2 linked regions of the Elephas maximus indicus genome follow. The protein of the gene in region 2 purifies or fractionates together with the protein of the main gene of each other region. This does not show direct contact. Links are inferred from orthologs where the notes say so. Each region holds a gene or a part of one and is shown on either strand. Other genes may lie near its edges.

Region 1 (7,744 bases), on a different chromosome or scaffold from region 2:
TGGAGGGGTGGGAGAATGTCATCAGGTATTAGATCCATTAATGTGAAAATAGTATATCCTTTCACTGGCACCAAAATAAGGAGCCCTGGTAGCACAGTGGTTAAAATGCTTGCCAGCTAACCCAGAGGTTGTTGGTTCGAACCCACCAGTTGCTCCACTGGGAAAAAGATATGGCAGTCTACTTCCATAAAGGTTTACATCTTGGAAACCCTATAGGGGCAGTTCTACTTTGTCCTATGGGGTTCTATGAGTCAGAATTGACTTTGATGGCAGTGGGTTTGGTTTGATTTTGGAACCAAAATATTGAGATTTTTAGGGAGAAAAAAAATATATATATATACATCACATTGATTTTCATAGGCTGATAATGCCAAGAAATACCACAGCTTGAGACCTCAAGTTAAATGCTTTTCATGCCAAATAGGTTTTGGCAAAGAATGCTTGAGAAATAATGGGGAAAAAATCTTAAATATCCAATATCATACACATGGCCAACAATCTGTCAACAAGAAAATGCACTTCTAAATGTAAGGTCCTGAGACTTAGGATTAGGACTTCCCTTTGGTAACACCAAAGGACAGAGTTGAGCAATCTAACACTCAGAATAGAAATAAGTACCTCTGTAGACAAAATAAGAAAACAAATAACTGCGATTTGGAGTATGAAAAGGTGCTTGACGTCTCATAACTGCTTTGAAAAACAACCAGTAGATTAAAACAATTGCGAGAGGAAAACAGAAAATTAGGAGCTGTTCCTCAGAGGCACAGGCCAATACAGAAAACACGGGCTGCTGTTACCATTAAGTCTTAGAATTAGGCCTGTTGCTGTTCAGATTTTCTTGAGAAACACTGAAGAACATCTTATAAGTTAGAGGATTAAATAACCTGTAGAAAAATATGAGAGTGGCCTGAAGACAAGTCCAGTCCACTAAATAACTGGGGTAGCTGAAAGCTTGAAAAACTAAAATTAAACACAATGGACTATATCAGTCACAGCTTGGGAAGACTGATGGGCCCTTAACTTCTAGATGCTTTAAAATCTGAATATTACTGTAGCATAGGGTCTAGTTCTGGTTGCTGGCTCATAAAAGAAAGAGGGCACTAGTTAAAGAAGTCTTAAGCAACAGTGTAGCAGACAGAGTAAAGGAAACATTTATGTAAGATCAGATGAGCCCCTGATACTCCTTCTAGGCCTCAAATACTATCCATGGTAAAACTGGAGTTAGGGGCAGGCAGCTGATTATTCAGGTTAGTGGAAATGAAACATCTTAGGTTTGATTTTCACATTAGAAAACAGAGGCCATAATTGAATTAAATGTTGGCAAATGTGAAATCTGTTAAAAGCCATTTTTCTGAGTTCCATAATCTTGGCGTTGAGAGAATTCAATGCTGTCAACTTTAAGAGGCAGGGATAATTTTACAATTATGTTCATTTCAGTGTGCTAAGAAATGACAACATAAGTAAAATTTCATTATTTAGCACTGTTCATGGCAGTAAAAAATACGCCATCATAAAAAAATGTATACTTATGAAATGTGCAAATTGTTAAATGGCTTTTTGGGATTTTTCTTCAGGATACAAAAAAGGGGAGGCAGAGTTGTTCTTCCACTTGTAGAGAAATATACAAATTATGGTCAGGAATAGGCTTTTGGGATTACCGACGTCATTAGGGAAAACTTAAAATCATCAGCTATAGTACTTGGTTACTTTGAAAATTCATATTATAAACACTGAAAAGAGAAGTTTCAGAAGGTGATTTTTTGAGGTGATCCGAGCCCCGCAATCACTAACAAGCTTCTTCATCCAGAATGCAAACAAATATTGAAAAAGAAGGAACACAGGCAGTCCCATAAAGCAGGAAGTAAGTGAAATCCTGAAAGCCAGGTCTTGTCCAGGATGAGAACCGTGTCCGGGGTTTCTCCTCTTTGCCCAACACCTCTTGCAGGAACTCAAATTGCCACATCCAGCTGTTGCCAGTTTCTGAATTTTTCTTTTTTGGGGGGCGTGTGTGCGTGCGTGCGTGCGTGTGTTACTTCTAGGATATGAGCAGGTGAGGTCTTCTCATTTTTGTCGAAGTTTCCTCCAATTTCGGCCACGACTCAATTCTCGCCACTCTCTTTTCTCCAAGGTCCTACCTATGCAGCACTCACAGCCCCTGCCAGCTCTGGAAGCTGCGGAGATCCCGACCGCCTGGGATGGGGACTGAATCTTCTTGTTGCAGTGTAATTAAGCGGAACCATGACCACTGCAGACTGGTTGACAACACACATTTCTACAAAACCAGCAATACGAATTTTGACAAGCCTTGTCCAATCAACAGGCTTTATTTTGGCTTCGGTTTTTTGTTTTTGATTCTGCTGAGGGAATATAATCAGCCACCAGCTTGGGCATTAGAAAGGAGGAAGCCCAGACGCTTCTCTTCTTTTGCATGATAAAAAGACAATCTACACCTTAATAGCTGTAAGGGAAAATGGGCCTGTGTGAGGAGACACCACTAGAAACGCACGTTAGAACTGGGTCACCCGTAAAAAATACAGACGATACCAGGTTATTTATACAGAGAGCCCCCCAGGACCACCACTTCTGTGGTCCCCACGCAAATCAATGGGATCCTCCCCGCAGCTTTGCAGCAACAGCTAGTTCAACAAAGCTCTGCAAAGAGAAGAAAGGTCCTGGCATCCTCTTCTGCCAGCCGCTGACCCAGCCCTCCCGTCGCGCCGGACTCGGGCCCCTTTGCCCCCAGCAGCCCCAGGACCCCGCATCCCGGGCCCCGAGCCCAGCCGCGGTCCCCACTCGGGTTCCCGCGTCCCCGGCGGCCGCACGGTGCCCCCGAGGGCGGGGACGGCTCGGGCAGGGGGACGGCTCGGGCAGGGGGAGGGGCGGCCCCGGCCCGTAGGTCCCCAGGGCGGCCGCACGCCCCCTCCCGGCCCCGCAGCTTTCCCGCCTTCCCCGTTTGAACAGCTCCCGCCCGCCTTCTTCCTTCGGCCCGCTTCAGCCCATTCCCGGGGGCGGGCTGCGGCCGCTACTCTAGTCCCCGGCGCGGCCCCTGGGCTAGGCCGCGACGGGCCTGGGGCGCCCCCGGGGCGGTTTCGCGGTCCCGGGACGGCGGCTGGTGGCGGGGCGGGGCCGCTGCCGCCTCTGGGTGGGGGCCCGGCCCGGCCTCTTGGGGGCTCCGCTCGCCGCTACCTTCACTCGGATCGCCCGGATCCCGCTTCAGCGCCGCCGACCGCCGCCATCTTGGAGAAGGAGAGAAGAGCGCGAGCGGCTAGGAAGCCTCAATCGATCCCAGAGCGCAGACTCGGGCTCGGGAGGGGGAATCCCGATTGAGAAAGAGCGCCGAGCTCATCGAATGAAACTCTGAACTCGCGGCTAGTGTTAATTGAGAATCTGCTCGGTGGTAGGCTTGGTCTAGAGACTTTACGAACATCATGTCATTTATCCTCACTACATCTCTGTGAAGTGGGCTTTTATCGCACTTGGCAGACGAGAAACAGGCTCAGAGATGTTAAGTGACTTGCCCAAGGACAAACAGGTGGTTGGAGTAGGGGGCAAAATTCTATCCCAAGTCTTCTGATTCTAAAAGCAGTGCCCTTCCCAGAAGAATATGCTGTTTCGTTCAAAATATTTTTATACAGTGTTTCCCCTCTTTGAAAAATCTAGAACCCTGCAGATTAATAGCAGTGACGCTTATTTGGAATTTGCCATCTACATTTGGGTGTTTGGTATATCTGGAGTGAAGGGGAAGAACACATCTTTATAAAAATGTACTGTAAAATAACTTTCCTAGTGAATCGCATGCATGTCTCCCTATTTGCACCTAAAAGCTGGAAATAGTCTTCAGAAAAACTAAGAGATGTAACGTTCAGGAAAGAATCAGAGCTTTCGAATTTGCTTCAGAGAATTTGGGCCAATGAGTAGAAATTAGAGTGTGCAGTCTTTGGTTCCATTTGAAGTTTTTTTTTTTTTTTTTTAAGAGCAGTTTAATAGTGTAAGGAAAGGAGCCCCGTGTCACCAGAGGAGCCCAGCTAGACGGGAGCCAGCAGATGCTAGTGTCTGAGTTACTGTAGAGCAGAGAAGTTAGAGATTGACTTCTGGAGTCATGCGTTCCATAAAAATCTGTGCAAATTTATGCGTTTGTGCACATGTTTGTTTTTTCTGGGTTTTCAGTGCCAGCAAACAACCCCTGCCCTAGTGGGCTTTCCATTCTAGAATGGGGTGGGTGCTTGCAGATGTTGTAGTTATGCAGCTCACTTTACAGACTTAGAAACTGAGACGGAGGGAAACAAGGTGATTTTTCTCAGACCACACTGCTAATTAGTGATCAGATGAGGACTAGAAGCCGGATTATCAGACTCTTGGTTTAGTGCTTTTTCTGCCATATCATGCTTTCGCCCTGTCAGCACTGGGTAGAAGGTCAGATTCTCGTTAATCACTGCCCCTACAACTGTGAAATGCTGAAAAGTTAAGACATCAGAGACAAAGTTGTTGAATTTACACTCGAAATGTAATTGCAACTAATAAATAAAACTAGCATCTTGGCCTCTTCCTCAGCCCCATCCTGCTCACCTAAAAGGCAGGCAGTCAATTTCACCAAAAGGTATGAGCTTTGCATTTTGGGGATATCTTGCCTGAAGCTAGGCCTCTCTTTGAGGTATTTAAGAGCCATAAGAATATATTTCCCTGTTGTTCTTCACTCTGGCTGTATTGGTCAGGATGTTTTCGATTGTAAGTGACAGAAGCCCAACTCAAAAGAGTTTGCTATGAAAGGCAGATGTATTGGCTCACATTACTGAAATGTGTACCACCTTCAGGCTTGGCTGGATTCAGGGAATGACTCAAGCTGCCCTCTTAACATCTCTCTGTAGTGCTTTCCTCTGAGTTGGCTTCATTCTCAGACTCCAGGTGGTGACTCCAACAGCTCCAGGCTCCATCATCTTTACAGCTAGCAGTGTCACTGGACAGGGGGTTTCTCTTTCCTATTTGTTTTGGCAGACGTCCTGGGATTGACTCTTACTGCCTGAATTGGGTCATCTGTCTAAACAGAAACCAATCACCGTGAGTAAAGGCATAGAATATACTGATGGGGTAAGGTAGGTCACATGCTCACCCCCCAGCAAAATAAAGTCTGGAAGGCTTTACTCCATTCTTATCATTAAGGTAGACTCTACTTTGAGATGAAGCTATGCCTCAGTCATGTTTTGAGTGCCTTCCAACCTGGAAGACTCACCTTCCAGCACTATATTGGACAATATTCTGTTGTGATCCATAGGGTTTTCACTGGCTAATTTTCTAAGTAGATCACCAGGTCTTTCTTCCTCATCTTACTCTGGAAGAACCACTGAAACCCGTCCATCGTGGGTGACCCTGCCGGTATTTGAAATACCAGTGGCATAGCTCTCAGCATCGCAGAAACAACAAGCCACCACAGTACAACAAATTGACAGATGGGCGGTGGAAACTGGCCCTATTGATCCTCTGTCTATTGGAACCAGAGAGGAATTCATTAATCCATAATGCTTCAGGGAAGAGGGAACCCTCCAGTTGCCCCTTGCCTCTGGGGTTGGGGTAGCATGGGAGGGCATTCCCAGTGGGAGAAATTGGGTGAAAGGAGGCAAGGGGGGTCAGTGCTTCGCCATGTGCTTGGAGTGGCAAGCAGTGGTGTTTCTGGGCCTGTGCTATGAGTTCCTGGGAGTGACGGGGGGAGGCTGGGCCACACAGAGATCTTGTACTTAGCCCAGAAGGGCTTGGGCCAGGCCCCTGTGTTCTCCTCCAGACCTGCCTGCCGGTCCCTCCAGTCTGTGCCTTTGTAGCCTGTTTTGTTGTTGTTAGGTGTCAATCCCTACTCATAGCGACCCCATGTGACAGAGTAGAATGGTATAGGGTTTCCTAGGCTTTAATTTTTAAGGGAACAGATCACCAGGTCTTTCTCTTGTGTTGCTGCTGGGTGAGTTTGAATTGCCAACCTTTTGGTTAGCAGATGAGTGTTTAACCATTGCACCATGAGGGCTCCTTGAATGCATAAAACCAAAACATCAAACCCATTGCCATTGAGTCTATTCTGACACACGGCCACCCCATAGGACAGAATAGAACTGCCCCATAAGGTTTCCAAGGCTGAAATCTTTGCGGAAGAGCCCTGGTGTCATGGTGGTTAAGCACTCGGTTGCTAACCAAAAGGTCAGCAGTTCAAACCCACCAGCCATTCTGTGGGACAAAGATGTGGCAGTCTGCTTCTGTGAAGATTACAGCCTTAAAAACCCTACGAAGCAGTACTACCCTGTCCTATAGAATCACTATGAGTCAGAATCAACTTGATGACATTGGGTTTGGTTTTTTGGTCTAATCTTTATGCAAGTAGATTGCCAGGTCTTTCTCCCTCAGAATCTCTGGGTGCCTCTGTTGTTGTTAGGTGCTGTCGTGTTGGTTCCAACTCATAGTAACCCTATGTACAATAGAATAAAACACTGCCCAGTCCTGTGCCATCCTCACAATTGTCATTATGGTTGAGCCCATAGTTGCTGCCAGCACGTAATCCATCTCATTGAGGGTCTTCCTCTTCTTTGCTGACCCTGTACCAAGCATGATGTCCTTCTCCAGGTACTGATCCCTCCTGTCAACATGTCCAAAGTATGTGAGACAAAGTCTTGCCATTCTTGCTTCTAAGGAGCATTCTGGTCGTACTTCATCCAAGACAGATTTGTTTGTTCTTTTGGTAGCCCATGGTATATTCAATATTCTTCGCCAACACCAAAGGATGCATTACTCTCCTGGCTCTTGTTTCTTGGTAGTATAAAGTCCCCTCGTCTCTCTGCTTGCTTCTCTCTTTTATATCTCAAAAGAGATTGACTTAAGACACAACCTAATCTTGTAGATTGAGTCCTGCCTCATGAACATAACTGCCTCTAATTCTGCCTCATTAACGTCATAGAGGTAGGATTTATAACACTTAGGAAAATCACATCAGGTGACAAGATGGTGGACAATCATAGTACTGGGAATCATGGCCTAGCCAAGTTGACAGATTTTTGGGGAACACAATTCAGTCCATGACAGCAACTAACAACAAGTAGAGTACTAGGGATCAGATTTCTTCTGCCGCCTGAAACAATAAAAAAAAAAAAAAAAAAAAAAGACAAAATATATGAAACAGTGGTTTGTAGACCAGGGACATCAGGCAGCATGGGACAGTGATCTCTGAGAAGGAGGAAACAAGCAAGGAGAACCCTACAATTGGCTCAGTTTACTGTCTGAAGAGAGTTTCCAGACTACAGGTGAGTGAAGGGTAACCCAGGTGGAGCTCTGAGGTCTCCCTGAGTTGAGGTGACAGAGATGGGAGTCTCTGGAGGTAAAGCTGGCTTGAATTCAAAGGGTAGAATACCCAAGAGGCGAGAGCTGCCCACACAGAAAGTTCTGAAGCTCTGCAGAAACTCTGCTAAGTGAAAGAAGCCAGTCTGAAAAAGCTACTGATCAGCACATGTGTGTGAAGAAACTACCCAAGGCCTGGGAAAGAACCCCTAAAAGGATTAGAGAGAACAATCTCTGTAGCTCATTCAGGGCTAGGAACAGTTTGAGTTCCCACTAGCCAGTTTGGGAAAATCTGGGTTATCCGATAGAGCACTAGATGGTGGTTGTTGCTGGGCACCAATCGAGCCGATTCAGATTCATAGCAACCCCATGGGACAGTAGAACTGCCCCACAGGGTTTTCTTGGCTGTAATTTTTATAGGGGCAGATTGCCAGGGCTT
Region 2 (8,765 bases):
CAAATTGGAATGAGTTGGTCACCCTATCTCTCCCTGTGCAGGGTACTTCCAAAGCTGCAAAGTCTTTGAGGTCATAGATGAAAAAAGGGGTTCATGTTCTCAGCTGGAACCGGGCTATGTTCTTCCCAAACTAGGGGTAGCAGATTATTTGAGGAAGCTAGCATCACTAGGAAGCGATGGCCAGTGCCACTGGTTGTGGCATTAGCAGGGCAAGCCAGGTAGTTATGTGAGGCAGCAGCAGCCATCTACCTTCCTGATCCAATCTTCTTGCCTGGTTTTAGATGTTTCTGGCTGTGTAGCCTCAGAGCCTGGTTCTTTTGTACCCTCAGTGATGCTGTGATCTTACAGCAGATGGTGTTGGTTTCTGTTGGCTGCAACCAAGAACCCAACTGTTAAAGAAACTGGTGCCAGAGTGGCCCTAGGCTGTGGAGTCCCAGGGAAACGGGGAGGGGTGTCTGTGACTGTCTGTCTGGTCTTCTGAGGCTGATGGCAGAGAAGAGGCATCTAATGTGAAGGTATGATGCTCTGATAGCCCATAGCAAACAGTGGCAAAACAACAAAATCACCGGTGTCACCTGGAATTAAAGGCAGGTCTTCAGAGGAGTGACTGTAGCCATAAAACATATAATGGGAGTGAGGAATTCAAGGGCTGTGGGGCGGTGTCTTCTACGGTACTGGATGCTGAGAAGCTCTTTTTGGATTTAGATGACTACATATGCCACAATTGTATGTGCTGCTTTAAGCCATTTTCAAAAGTGACCTGAAAATTCGTGAATGTTGAGTGCAGCCCAGAGCAAGTGAAAGTTCTTCAGCAGGTCCAGGGGGCAGTGAAAGGATCTCTGCTAATTGGTTCTCATGACTCAGTGGACCCAATAATGCTCTGTGTACATCCACGTACTGGGGTGCTATACAAAGTCCATGGCAAGCCCCCAAAGGAGCATCACTATGGTTACATTTAGGGTTTTGGAGCAAAGTCTTACTCTCTTTGGCTAATAACTGTTCTTTTTGAGAACTGCTCTTAACTTTGCTCCTGGGCCCTGGCAAAGACAGAAAGCCTGACCTTTGGGGTACCAGGTGACCGTGTAATCTGTTCTGCTTATCATGAACTGAGTATCTGTTTCATTTAGCCATAAATACCCGGTAGCCTTCCCATCCTGAAGAGTACATGGTATATGGAAGAGCAGGCCTGAGCAGGTCCTGGAGAAACACAGGAGTGCAATTCCCAGTTCACTGAGTGTTTACTCCCACTTCACTGCCACTCCTTCCTCAGTCCACAACCCCAACTCCCCATGACCATATAACTAAGAAGGACAACATTTGAGCTTGGTTTACAGATGGTATCAGCTGGAAATGGACTGCTAAAGTACCATAGCTACAGTTGGAAGTGGTCTTGAAGGACAGTGGCAAAAGGACATCTCCCAGTAGGCAGAGCCTTGAGTTGTATTTATTGTGGTTCTCTTTGCCTTGAGAAAGACTCTACACCAAGTCATGGGCAGTGTCCCTTTGGCCAGCTGGTCAGGGACTAAGAGGATTGGTGACAAGAAGTTTTAGAAAGAAGGTATAGATGAACCTCTCAGAATAAACCTAGAAAGTGATAGATTTTGTGCCCCATATGAATACTTATCAAAATATCCTCACTGCTAAGGAAGCTTTAACAAGTTAGAGGGCAAGAAGACCCAACCTGTGAATGTAGGTCAAACTCCTTCCCTAGTAAAGCCAGTACCTGCTTATAGGGGTTATGCACAAAGTGGCAATGGGGGCTGGCACCAAGGTTATAACGGATTCAACACGTGCTTCCCTTCTGCAAAGCTGAACTGGCTATTGCCATTGCTGAATGCCCATGTTGGAAGGCGTCATTATAATGGACTCTATAATGAAGGGGACAGTGAGTCAACTTAATTGGGGAGAGGGTTATACTGAAGTTGGATTTGCTTTCCCCCACCAGCCATACTTATACCATCATCATCACCCTACAGGGACTTACTGAATACCTTATTTACCATCGTGGTATTTTATACACCATGGTATCAAGCATGAGACTAACTTTAAATGAAAGAAATAAAGAAATGGGCTATCCTCTTGGATGCACTAGCCTTATTTACACTCCCAACCACCTGAAGCAGCTAGCTTTACGGAACAGTAGAATGGTCCGAACAGTAGAATGGCCCACGGAACACTCACTTGGCTACAGAGCCAGCTGCAAGACAATAGCTTGGGAGCCTGGATTCCATTTACATTTGGAACCAGCAATTCTGGAGGTACCCATATCTGTCTCACGGAGTCCTTTTCTGTTTCTTTTAAATGAGCCATAGTTGATTTCTATTGCTTGCAACTAAAAATTCCAAGTGCTGTATCTGATCTAGTATATTTTGATCCATCTGAAGTGCTTTTAAAAAATTGACTTAGTTGCTAATATTTAAAAATCAAGAGTTTCCATGTGTAATCCTCATTTGCACCTTCTCTTGAAAAGGTTGAAGACCTGGCCATTTTAGGCCTGTATTCTTGTAGCTGCTCTTTCTAAACAAAACTTGGGTGCTCAGTTTTCCAAAGGCCTCACCCTGCCCACTTTGTTTACTTTCACTGCTCACCTGGTCATTGAAGGCATATAAGTTTGTGACCCTTGGTGCTCAACCAAATTATGTCTAATAAATTAATTTGGCAGTTAGCACTTGCATTTCTTTAATTTTCATTTCACATATGTTCTATTTTTTCACTTACATTGTAAAATATTTGGTGGCCAGAATAATGTTAACTATTTTTCTTATTTATTTATTTTATTGTGCTTCAGGTGAAAGTTTATATAGCAAATTAGTTTCTCATTCAAAGAGTTCTATACAAATTGTTTCATGACATTGGTTACAATTCCTACAATGTGCCAGCACTCTCTCTCTTTCCCCCTGGGCTCCCCATTTCCATTCATCCAGTTTTCCTGTCTCTTCCTACCTTCTCTTTTTGCTTTTGGGTAAGTGTTGCCCATTTAGTCTCGTATACTTGATCTAAGAAGCATGTTCTTCACTTAGTTTTATAGGGTTGTCTAAAAAAAAAAAATTTTTTTTTTTCTAATCTTTGGCTAAAAGGTGAACTTTGAAAGTGGCTTCAGTTCCCATTTAGAAGGGTGGGGGGCCATAGTCTTGGGGGGTTCCTTCAGTCTTTGTAAATTTGAATTTTGTTTTACATTTTTCTCACACTCTGTCTGGGACCCTCTATTGTGATCTCTGTCAGAGCGATTGGTGGTGGTAGCCAGGCACCATCTAATTCTTCTGGGCTCAGGCTGGTGGAGGCTGTGGTTCATGTGGTCCCTTAGTCCTTTGGATTAATATTTTCCTTGTGTCTTTGGTTTTCTTCATTCGCCTTTGCTCTGAATGGCATGGGACAAATAGATGTATCTTAGATGGCCACTGGTAAGCTTTTAAGATCCCAGATGCTACTCACCAAAGTAGGATGTTGAGCATTTTATGAACTGTGTTATGCCAATTGACCTAGATGTCCCCCAAGAGCATGGTTCCCAGCCCTCAGCTCCAGTAACTCAGTCTCACAAGATATTTGGACATGTCTGGTGGCGTAGTGGTTAAGTGCTATGGCTGCCAACCAAAGGGTCGGCGGTTCGAATCTGCTAGGTGCTCCTTGGAAGCTCTATGGGGCAGTTCTACTGTCCTATAGGGTCGCTATGAGTTGGAATAGACTCAACGGCACTGGGTTTGGTTTTTTGGGTTTGAGGAAGCTTCTATGACTGTGCTCCGTTTGTGCTCTATCATATATATATATATGAATATACACGCTGTACATACAAACGTGTGTAAAAACATCCACAGCCTAACCTACATATGTGCATGGGTTTACTCCTAAACGCCCTCCTTCGTCTATTCAGGATAGGTATCTGCCGATGTACCTGCTTATAAGTTATTATTTGTTTTTACTGTTGTTGCGGGACTGTACATGCTGCAGTATTTTATTTACTGTGGTTGCCTTTTATTTTTTTCCTCGTGCTCCTGTAAGTGTCTTCCTTTGTCTTGGTCAGGTTGTGCTGACCTCCCCTACATAATGTGTTGTCTTTCCCTTCACCAAAGTTAACACGTCTACTATCTTAACTATTTTTCTTTGAACCACTCCTTGGATATTTCATATTTTAATAAATACTCACTTATGTTTATAAAACCTTTCTCTTATCCCTAGAGCGTACCTTGGCCAACCTATTAAGTCACCCCGATTTGGTGTGGGGAGCCTGAAATTGCATCATCACGACTCCCACCCTAGACGAAGCTGAGACCCTACTGACTTGTCAGGTAAATAAATAATTTCTCTAGAAGACAAAAATATTTTGAAGCAGGTTTTAGGAGGGAAGTCACCCTTTATGCTGCAAATGAGAAACAGGAAAGTTCTTGCTGCCATTATCAAGTTCCTAGATGGGACACTAGGAAAAGTGTAAAAAGAAAAAAACTAAAACAAAAAAACCCAAACCCTTGCTGTCTGGTGGACTCTGACTCATAGCAACACTAGAGGACAGGGCAGAACTGCCCAACAAGGTTTACCGAGGCCCCCTTGGAGGGGCTGCTGTGTTCGAACCACCAACCCTTACAGTAAGCGTTAACAGCCAAGCACTTAACCACCAAGCCACCAGAGCTCCTTAGAAGAGGTGTCGCAAACTAGAGTGTGGTTGCCTCCTGGAGTTTATCGGAGGCAAGAAGCTTCCAAGCGACTTTCCTTCAGGGTCTGGGAGCCCAGGGCGTGGTTTCTGGCACGGCCCCGGAGCAGTTGTCATTGGGATCAATTTCAGGACTCCAGAAAAAAGCGCTTGGAGTTTCACGTTTCTGGGGGCTCGTCTACGGGGCCCCAGTTAATTTCACCCCGTCGGTAGCACTACCCGGTCCCCCCCGTCACTCGGGCCTCCCCCTCCGTGACACTGTCGCAGCATCATTTCCCCAAGGGGGCGGCATGCAGTATGAAATTTGGGGCTCCCTTGCCCTCCTCTCCGAACCCGGGAGGGGAGACGCGGGAATTTCGGGCTCCGCTGGGGACTCCGCAGAGGCTTTCGTCTCCCGACGCCTTGCGCGGGATTCATTTCTTCAGCGGAGCGCACCTCTCGCTCGCGCTGCGAGAGCCCGCAGGTCCACCCCGCCGCGCCAAGGCGCCCGGGCTCCTCGCACCCGACTGGGCGCTCCCGCGCTCCCCCTAGCGGCCGCCGTGCGGCCTCGCTCCGTCCCAGGCTCGTCGGCGGCGCAGCTCACGTGACCGCGCTCTGGGCCTGCGGCCGCTGTCGGTTCCCCCAGTCACCGAGCGAGAGGGAAGAAACAAGATGGCGGCTGAAGGCGATCCGGAGTGGGGCCCCAGCAATTCGGATTGAGCCTTCTCCCTCCACCCGCTTCCGCCGGCCCGGCCCCTCCCGCCCGGCCCCGCGGGCCTCCCCACCCGGCCCCGGCGCCCCTCACCGCCGCCCCTCCGCCCGCCCCTCCCCCCTCCGCTTTCCCTTCTCCCCCCGCCTCGGCTCCGACATGAGGGGCCGGCGGGGCAGGCCGCCCAAGCAGCCCGCGGCTCCCGCTGCGGAGCGTTGCGCCCCGGCCCCGCCGCCGCCGCCGCCGCCGCCGCCCACGTCCGGACCCATCGGGGGGCTCCGATCGCGGCACCGCGGCAGCAGCCGGGGCAGGTGGGCCGCCGCCCAGGCTGAGGTGGCGCCCAAGACGCGGCTGAGCTCACCCAGGGGGGGCAGCAGTAGCCGGAGGAAGCCGCCGCCGCCGCCGCCGCCGGCCCCCCCCAGCACCAGCGCCCCGGGCCGGGGGGGGCGAGGAGGCGGGGGCGGCAGGACGGGGGGCGGGGGCGGCGGCGGCCACCTGGCCCGGGCCACCCCGGCCCGGAGGGCCGTCAACAAAGTGGTGTACGATGACCACGAGAGCGAGGAGGAGGAGGAGGACATGGTCTCCGAGGAAGAGGAGGAGGAGGACGGCGACGCCGAGGAGACCCAGGATTCCGAGGACGACGAGGAAGATGAGATGGAGGAGGACGACGATGACTCCGATTATCCGGAGGAGATGGAAGACGACGACGACGACGCTAGTTATTGCACGGAAAGCAGCTTCAGGAGCCATAGCACCTATAGCAGCACTCCAGGTACCCACCCAGCCCAGTTGCTGCAGACGCCTTCCCCACCTCCTTACCCTCCCCCCTTGCTCACTCCCTCTTGGGTGCTGTGCATCCTGCTCCGGCCTCCCCCCACCCCCACCGCCCCCCCAAACCGAGGGGAAATGCGAAGGCACATCAAGTGGCAAAAAACTAGATTTACAAGAGGAAAGAGGCGCATTGTTCAAAATGGAGATTGCATTGTTGCACTTTGCAGGCCACACTCGCTCGCTCTCTCTCCCCTTAGCCCCCCTTTTTTTCTCTTCAAAATTTATGCCAGTGCAATGTCTCCACCGGGCAGGATTGAAACTTTGGCACACACACATCCATTGCATTCATTTTTCTCCCCTTGTTTTGGTTTGGTTTTTTGGAATGAAAGAAACCACTTGTTTTTGCAAACCTCTTTGCGTTTCTAATGTGGTTCTTTTAGATTTTTATGGTCTATCTGCTCCTTAAAAGGGGGTTTAGGGTTTAGATAGATTGTGGCAGACACATAAATACACACAAACAAACAAAACTTTCTTCCCTTCACTCCCCTAGCTATGTGGTTTAAAAACTGTGTTAAGGAAATAGATCAGTTGGGTTAGTAGAGGAAGCCTTACTTATCTGGCCCTGTGTGTTTGTTTTTATTTCTTGGGTGTTAATGGGCTCGTGCAACAGTGGCTGGTAAATGGCTGATTGAAAAGCAAAGCAGAAAACCAAACCCAAAGCAAATTCGGTAATTCATCCGATTCAAAATCATTTGGGTAAAATCCAAAATAAAAGTAAAAAACCGCAGGAGCATGCCGTCTTACTAATTTGATGGCGATTGCTTTGCTTGGGAAAGACAGTTTCATGTCACCTGTTGCAGAAGACGCGTAGTTGATCACCCAGACATAATTGCTGAAGATGACCACTTGGACCAACTTCTAAGTCACACAGCAGAGATACTGGGGGGAGGAGGGCTATTAGAAAACAACTTTTGCTTTTCACTCTGTTTCTGAGGCTGAAAGTCCATCCAGGATCAGTAATGGACTTCTTCGTGGTGACTCCTCTCCTGTTTTCTCTCAGGACGTTTCTCTAGGTTGGTGCTGAAATGCCTTTTGTTAAAAAAAGAAACAAAAAAATACAACACAATTGCTGCTTTGTATTAAATACGTAGTTGCAGCTTACTAAATTCTGGAAAAAAAACAAACAAATATGTAGCAAAAACCTGCCAGACATTGTATTTTGGTTTGTCTGGGTTAACTAAATTAGAATCTGGTTTTAAGAGCATTTACAAAGTAGTTTATGAGGAAATACGGGGATCTTGGAAAATTAAGGTGTGTTACTAGTGTTTAAGAGAGACTAGGGTAGAAAAAGTAGTTAAATTGAAATGTTTCCATTTTTTGCAAATGCTTCAGTACCTATTGGAGAAGTATGAAACCGGATATAAACCTGTTTTGGTTGTCTTAACGTGAAATGGGAAAGGTAGTGGCTTTTGCCTGACAATGAGAGCGTGTCTGTCTTTGTTGAGGGTGGAGACAGGCAGGGGAGAGTGAAGGTAATGAATTAAGTGTTAAGTATTTGTCTTTTGTATGTGAAAGGGACTGCACAAAAGTTTTGTTCCTTGCCAGCGTAATTTTAGTACATCTTTTTATAGTAATAAGTTTTTTTACTTTAAGAAATCACACATGTTCACTTTCTACCAAGAGCCTAGAATTGAATGAACCATAGAAACTGAATTTCACTGTTGGAGGAAGTTCTTCCAGGTTAGAGAGGAGCTAAGGCATTTTTTGGTATGGCAGTTTAGCTAACTTTAACTCCTGTTTGAAGGCCTAACAAATAATACTTTGGATTGTTGGCTGTGCATGGGCTGAATTACATGACAATTCGTGGTCTGGTTTCCTTAAAAAAAAAAAAAAAAAACTTGTGTATTTATGACGTATCTGTGACATTTTTTTTCCTAATGACGTTTGTAGTCTACCTTGTGTATACTTGTCCTATCCCTTTATAAAATTATTAACTCCTTAATGAGAGATCTTGATCTCATCTCCCTTGCGCCTCCTAGTCATGCCCATAGCAGGTGCTCATCAAAGGCGGTCTGGATAAGCCATAGTTAGTAGGCGAGAACTTGAAATAGATGAAGTTTTGATAATTCCCTAGTGGGTGCTATAACTCGTAAATGTTTTGGTTTTAGTAAACTAAAAATTGGTCTAATTAGATTTTAACAGTTTGACTAGCAAATTTTTAAATAGCAGAGTTACTGTGTTTTGAAATGCTGTTTAGTGTTGCTTGCCAGGCATTTTCCTTTCTTCAGGGGATACGGTGTTAACTTCTTGGTTGTTTTGCCTTTTGAAACTCATTATTTCTCAGTATTATGGTAAATGGAGGAGAGAGTTTGTGTTCTGGACTTTCAGAATATGCCCACTTGCCTAGAATGAGTAACAATGCATGACAGGTGAGTTGTTTAGGCTAAGTACCAGTTTCATTAGTTTTATTGTCTGTACTTCCTGGGAGGAAGGCTGTGGGGTAAATGTGTAAATATGTACTTGTGTTTGGGAAGGAAAAAAGTTCTAGGACTGGTTTAAGATATCCCCAAAACATATGAAGAAATAAGGTTGATGGAGTTGAATCCTATGGTACTTTCAAACCTACAAGAAGGCTGTATTTTATTGGTAATTTAGAGCGATTTC

The links. Proteins that work in one complex are often made in the same cells at the same time.
Region 1: the proteins of BPTF (region 2) and HMGXB4 fractionate together in Homo sapiens (co-fractionation; 3 studies listed by BioGRID, with this or other methods). This does not show direct contact. The link is inferred for Elephas maximus indicus from reciprocal best matches to the Homo sapiens genes BPTF and HMGXB4.

Annotation. Positions count from the first base shown.
Region 1 is NC_064822.1:178,692,592-178,700,335, reverse strand, and holds the start of HMGXB4 (HMG domain-containing protein 4), read right to left. Parts: upstream 3,259-7,744; 5' UTR 3,187-3,258; intron 1-3,186. UniProt on the Homo sapiens protein: Negatively regulates Wnt/beta-catenin signaling during development.
Region 2 is NC_064837.1:56,115,548-56,124,312, reverse strand, and holds the start of BPTF (nucleosome-remodeling factor subunit BPTF), read left to right. Parts: upstream 1-5,453; 5' UTR 5,454-5,489; coding exon 5,490-6,102; intron 6,103-8,765. UniProt on the Homo sapiens protein: Regulatory subunit of the ATP-dependent NURF-1 and NURF-5 ISWI chromatin remodeling complexes, which form ordered nucleosome arrays on chromatin and facilitate access to DNA during DNA-templated processes such as DNA replication, transcription, and repair.